2 linked regions of the Caenorhabditis elegans genome follow. The protein of the gene in region 1 interacts with the protein of each later gene in a pairwise test. Each region holds a gene or a part of one and is shown on either strand. Other genes may lie near its edges.

The links. Proteins that work in one complex are often made in the same cells at the same time.
Region 2: the proteins of C16C8.16 (region 1) and pbs-3 interact in a two-hybrid assay, tested with the Caenorhabditis elegans proteins (2 studies listed by BioGRID).

Annotation. Positions count from the first base shown.
Region 1 is NC_003280.10:3,444,110-3,447,398, reverse strand, and holds C16C8.16 (Ubiquitin-like domain-containing protein), read right to left. Parts: upstream 1,644-3,289; 5' UTR 1,630-1,643; coding exon 1,549-1,629; intron 1,501-1,548; coding exon 858-1,500; intron 812-857; coding exon 732-811; 3' UTR 657-731; downstream 1-656. Other genes in the region: C16C8.20 (Ubiquitin-like domain-containing protein), read right to left, coding at 362-442; C16C8.5 (Ubiquitin-like domain-containing protein), read left to right, coding at 2,035-2,088, 2,139-2,478, 2,523-2,671; C16C8.4 (Ubiquitin-like domain-containing protein), read left to right, coding at 3,034-3,114, 3,163-3,289.
Region 2 is NC_003280.10:4,953,887-4,957,210, reverse strand, and holds pbs-3 (Proteasome subunit beta type-3), read left to right. Parts: upstream 1-1,783; 5' UTR 1,784-1,823; coding exon 1,824-1,876; intron 1,877-1,927; coding exon 1,928-2,325; intron 2,326-2,374; coding exon 2,375-2,538; 3' UTR 2,539-2,731; downstream 2,732-3,324. Other genes in the region: ulp-2 (Ubiquitin-like protease 2), read left to right, coding at 44-146, 198-768, 819-1,205; ndx-3 (Nudix hydrolase 3), read right to left, coding at 2,795-2,932, 2,977-3,324. UniProt on the Caenorhabditis elegans protein: Non-catalytic component of the proteasome, a multicatalytic proteinase complex which is characterized by its ability to cleave peptides with Arg, Phe, Tyr, Leu, and Glu adjacent to the leaving group at neutral or slightly basic pH.

The sequences.
Region 1 (3,289 bases):
TCTCATCTTGAAATTCGTCTTGTTCCTTCAAAATCTGAGTCTCTTGTTGCTTTTTCATATCACTAGTCTCATTTTTGACCATCTCCAAATCCAATATCAAATTTTCGATCACCCTGTTTTGATTTTTCTGGGTTTTTTGACAATCGTGTTTTTTCAAAATCTTTTTTTTCACTCGGGAATCGTTCGCCCACTATGGGGGAGTCTGCGCAAGGACAAGCAAGGACAAGGACAACATTCTAATGGAATGGAAACAACTGCCCGACTGCACCAATTCTAGTTCAAGCGAACAATGATAACTTTTGTATTCTGTATTCCTTCACGTCTCCCAGCGAGCGTAATAAATTATTATTATTATTCTCACCTCTGTGAATTCATTGTATATCTTGGAAGTTTCAACGCGAAGTTTTTGGAATTGAGACATCAAACTGCTTGTCTCCGACATTTTTAAATCTGAAAAAAAAAAGCTTTTTGATAATTTTTGAAATGCAAAGAAGTTCCTAGTTAACTTTTCTAATTTCCCAGGTAAATTCGAGAAAAAACTCTCTAAAAACTGAACAAGAACCGAAAACCAAGAAAGTTGCTTTTATTTTTGAGTAAATCAAATATCCAAATGATTGCAGAATCATTTTTAAAAAAAATCTGTGAAAAGCGAACAATTTTAGTTAACAATTATTTATTCGCAAAATAACAATATCTTGAAAAAAGTGAATGAAAATTAGAATAATTATGATTCAACGAGAGTATAGCCAAATTAATGCGCCTTCTTGAATGTTGTAGTAGGCGAGAGAGTGGTGGTCTTCGAGAAGTTTTCCTGAAATTCGAATTTTATTTTTAAATCTACTTTGAAACCAACCAACCACGAAGCACCATTCTGAACGAGCTGATGTCTACTTTTGCAAGTGAATTGATGCGAAGTTTGATGTGTCGAATTGTATCCGATCCGCACACGCGAAGTTTCCAGTGGTTTTCAGACGCGAATATGCCACACGATTCGGTCCAGATAACCAAAATCTCAAAAAATGGGTCAATTTTTGTCAATTCTACAGTTCCAAGTGGGACGTCTTGCACAGCTGATCCTTCCATAATCTTCATCATAATCTGATCTTGACTTTTCTGAAATTTCAATATCGATTCTAAAATCAGTTTCAAGTTTTTATCCGAATTGTCGATCAATTTTTCCTGAGACTCTTGTTGCTTTTTCGTCTCATTCAGCTCTGCTTTGACAGTCTTCAATTCCGAATTCAAATTTTCGATCGATTTGTTTTGATTTTCCTGGACTTGCTGAAATTCGTCTTGTTTTTTAAAAATCTTCTGGATTATTTCGAGAATCTCAAGAAGATCCTTAATTGATGTCGCCTGTTTCAGTTCTTTTTTCACAGATTTCAACTCCGACATCACGTTCTGCTGAATTTGCTTCATCTCATCGTTGAATTCGAATTGTTTTTCCAAAAGCTTCTCGCTTATGTCCAGAGTCTCTTTGAACAGCGTATAGCTGGGTTTCTGGAAGAAAATTGATGTTCTTATAATGTGTAAGCTCGAAAACTAAACCTCTTTAAACTCATTCTGTATCTTGGAAGCTTCAACGCGAAGTTTTTGAAATTTAGACACCAAATTGCTCGGCTCCGACATTTTGGAATCTGAAAAAAAACATTTTTTGAGATATTGGTGTTTTAGCGGTTACAACAGCATGCTTGCGAATAAAACCACATTTTCTGGCGTAATTAGATATTTTCTAGAACAATTCGGAAAATAAACTCCAAAAATCTCAAGAAAACTGAACAAAATTGAAAAACTGAAAGGAAAAATGTTCACGAACGAAATTTTCGAAGAAACTACGGTAGACGAGGAAGTACGCAGAGTGTTTACGGACTTTGCATTGCAAATGACGCGCATTGCTCATATTAAAAATTTTTTTTTTTTTTTTTTAATTTCAAATCTCTTCTCATTACAGTCTAATGCTTACAAACTGATTTTCAATGCCAGAAAAACGCGAAATGCTTTGAAATATAATATTTTCAGAATTGTTCGCGAAAAATGGACAACTCGAATAATGTGATGTCGAAATTGCAGAAACTTCGACTTGAATCGGTTGGGAAAAAAAGTATATTAAAACATTAAATAAAAATATTTTTTTCCAGAAATTTCCGAACGGCTCCACACTCGTCGAAAATCAATTGCTCTTGGATGTCAAATCGCTTTGCGCAGAACTACTCGAAGAACAGAAGTCGCTAAAGAAGAGACTTCAAAAAGTTGAAGAAAATCAAAAAATTGAGAACGCAAAGATCAAGGAGGAGCTGGAAAATCTGAAGAATGGCGGAAACCGAGTTGCGGACAATTCACTTTTTGAAATTTTCGTGTTCGATGATTACAAGTACCACGCTGTCGAAGTACGAAATTCTTATTTGATTCGTTATGTAAGAGTGAAGGTGGCGAATCTGCTCAACAACGATTTGGTTGAAAGTTTTAATCTGTATTATGGTTTGTTAAAACCAATTTTCATCACAATTTTTAAAACTTTTCAGGTGGTCAGAAGCTTCAGGACAATCGCTCGATTGGATCTTACAATATTGATCAGTCTCGAGAAATTTATCTAAAAAAAAAAAAAAAATTATCTACCCTGCTCTTGAACGTTACTATGATTATTAATTTGTTACCTGCCAATTTGATATAATTTGTTAATCTTATTTTTGTAATAAATTTTTTTTTTGAATATAAACTGGATATGGATTTTTCTATTTTGAATATGAGCATCGTATGGAGAATCAGTTATAAGACAGTTCGAATATTTTTCAGAAAACTTTGAAAACATTTTTCGGGTGATTTTTACAGTTAACTACTGTAGATGATGAAGTACGCAAGGTGTTTGCGGACTTTGCATTACTAATAACGAGCATTGTTTTTCATGATAATTCGTTGAAAAAGAAAAACAACGCGTTGTTTTCTTTCCATTTCTCTGGGTTTTTCAGTATTTAAATTTTAATTTTCAAGTTTTAAAAACTAAATGAATCTTATTTTTAGACTTGCCCACGAAAAATGAGTAACTCGAAGGATTTGATGTCGGAATTCGAGAAACTTCGACAGGAAACTTCCAAAATTCAATATTCCCTCATCCAGGTTAGTTATTATTGATTATTACTTTTAAAATTAATTTATATTTTCCAGAAACTTCCATCCGAGCCGTCCAGCTTCGTGGAAAATCAGCTGCTCCTGGAAACTCAAACACTTTGTGGACAACTTCTGAAAAATCAAGAAGAACAAAATATTCTCAATGAGAAGCTGAGAAATGAGC
Region 2 (3,324 bases), 1.5 Mb from region 1:
TAGGTTACTGTAACTGTTCCCTCATAGAATCCATGAATTTCAGTGCTCGTCAAGGATATCAAAACACTGGATCGCAAAGAATTCCTGAATGACAGCGTCATGGCATTTATGCTGAATTATATTGCATTTATGCTTTCGTCCGAGCTGTAAGTTTCATTAAACATCATTGGATTTTAAAAATTATAATTTAATTACAGAATGAAATCCGTGCATATGTGCAACACGTTCTTATTCGTCAATCTGACTCGCCTACTTCCACCATTGTGCTTCTCCAAAAGACGACCAATCGAACCAGAACACATAAAAATCGTGAAAGACAATTGCCCTCGAGTTCTCCGTTGGACACGAAAATTCGATGTTCTTGCCAAAGATTATATTATCATTCCGATCAACGAAGATCTTCACTGGCTCGTCATCGCTGTTATCAATCCATCGGGTGCAATTGTCGATATGTCGAATGAGGAAGCTTCCAGAGCTGCTCCGAAGTGTTATATTGTATTCTTCGATCCGTTGAGTGGTCTCGATCCAAGCAAGAAGAATCATATGTGTCACTGCATCAAGATTTATTTGGCTCAATTGTATGAAAACACTAAGGCTCCTGGAATGAAATTTGCGTCGAAGAATCCAACGATTTACGATGAGGAGAGAGTTGTCGTGACTCGTGCTGAAAACACTCCAATCCAAGACAACTTTTATGATTGTGGACTTTATGTATTGCATTTCATTGAAGGGCTCTTCTGTTATCCGAACCGTCCGGTCAATGTGAACGTAAGTAAATCTTCATGAAACATCACAATAAATAAACACTTTTAATTCAGGATTTTCCAAACTTTGACTGGTCAAAGTTCTTCCCGGAGGCCAATAAAATGTGTGACTTGATGCGAGACAAAGTTTACAATTTGATTCTTCAACAAGCGGATAAACCTGCGAGAAGCCGTCTCGCCAAGTTCGAAAGGGAGAACAAATGTGGATTGTCGCGTGAAGGAGCTCTTAGGAAAGCACGTCGTCATAGTGCAGTGAATGAACGTCGTACGAAACGGCACAGAGACTATTATGCACGTCACTATTCCTTGAGCCCGCCACACCGAAATGTGATGAACGATGATCCGACGTTCATGAATCCACGTGGATTGGCGGAAATGCCAATAACTCGACTTGTTCGTCGCCTCAGAATTCCGGAGGATAACTTCCCAATCGCTTACTAGGCATTTTGATCAAAAATTTGTCTCCCCTCTCAAAAATTGCCGGTATTTTCTTCTCTTAGTTAATTTATTTTTTAAAGATTTTATTATCCTCCCATTTTTACGCTCTCTCCTTATTTCTGCGTTCTCCGTCATAAAGTGACAATTGTTATTTTTTCTTTATAACTTGATCACTCAATTTAATATTTTCAGTTGATCTCCACTCTTTTTTCCTCCTTTTATTAAAATTTCAATATTCTGTTCCATCAATTTTCCTTTTGTACACCCATTTCACATCTCCGCAACGGTTTCTAAATTTTCTATTTGACTTCAGATTGTTTTCTTACCGTGTATGCGTTTTTCCGTCGATAAATTCGCGTTTTTAATTAATTTTTTTCATGTTCTGTCTGAAGAAAATGGTCGATTTCCATAGGTTCTCTTCAGCAACCCTGGCACGCTATTAGTCTCCGCCCACTTTTCCCTGCCGCAGTTTCCTATTTGTAAGCAAAATGTCCGCCAAACGATTGAAACGCTCATTTCACTTCATTGTTTCTCTGTTTTATTAAATTTCCAGACATTCTCACACTCTCTTTCAATTTCAGATATATCTCTTCGTCTTAAAGACCAGAAAAACACTCAAAAATGTCGATTATGAGCTACACTGGTGGAACCGTCGTCGCCATGGCTGGAGACGAGTAAGTTTTAAATTTCATGGTTGAAATATTATTTTATTCTTATCTTTTCAGATGTGTGTGCATTGCTTCGGATCTTCGTATTGGAGAGCAGATGACAACAATTGCAACTGATCAGAAGAAAGTGCATAAGGTGACAGACAAGGTCTACGTAGGACTTGCTGGATTCCAATCCGATGCTCGCACAGTCTTGGAGAAAATTATGTTCCGCAAGAATTTGTATGAGCTCCGTGAGAATCGCAACATCAAGCCACAAGTGTTGTCCGAGATGATCTCGAATCTGGCTTATCAGCACCGCTTTGGCAGTTATTTCACCGAGCCACTCGTTGCTGGTTTGGACGACACCAACAAGCCATATATCTGCTGCATGGACACTATCGGATGTGTATCTGCTCCACGCGATTTCGTTGCTGTCGGAACGGGACAAGAGTACTTGCTTGGAGTTTGTGAAAGTGAGTTTTTTGAATTTTGTTTAACGTTCAATTTAAATACTTTTTACAGACTTCTGGCGCGAGAACATGAAGCCGGATGAGCTCTTCGAGGCTACTGCTCAGTCGATTCTTTCTTGCTTGGAGCGTGATGCTGCATCAGGTTGGGGAGCAGTCGTGTACACAATCACTAAGGATAAGGTTAACGTCTCAACTATCAAGGCTCGTATGGATTGAGAAATTTTCCCCGTTCCCAACATTAAGTGTATACAATTTAATCTAATTTATTTGTTTCTCTTTTCCCTGTCTCATCCCCACACCCCAGACCGACCGGTTACCGTATTTTTCAACTTTTAAATTCTTTTGTGTTGGTTCTTCAATATCGAGAATACATTTATCACCCATTATGACTTGTAAATGTTTTATCTTTAGTCTCCCGAAGTTTATGGCAACAATTCTACGAACAAAAAAAATACTACACAGATCCTAAGAATTAGAAAAATTTCACAATTAAATCATGCTTATAGACATCTGGATTCAGCAGGGTCAATGCTTGATGCAACATTACACCAGAAAGCCCCCAAACTCGCTGGGTGGAATGAAGATACTCGTTCGGAGCATTGTGATGGACCTGAAAAACTTAACATTTTTTCGGAAATTATTTAAAAAATAAACCTTGAACTCCGTGGAATCGAACGAAGGCAGTGTGTACTTCATTCTCTTGCTTTGGAATTTAGTTAGTCCGGCTTTTTTGATAAGTTCATCAATTGGAATCGTGAAAACAGCTTGTACTTCATCAGAGTTGACCACCAGATTCTCGAGAACTCGCTCATCGGAAATGTATCCAACAATCGGAGTAACATTGAAATCCGCTTGCCGTCTTATCACACTTTTCAAATGACCCCAGATTTCCACACTTTCAGCGTTAACCCCGATTTCTTCAAACGTTTCACGGAGAGCAGTTTCAGTTGTAGTTTCTCCTGGATCCATTCGACCACCTGGAAAACATACTTCACCACGATG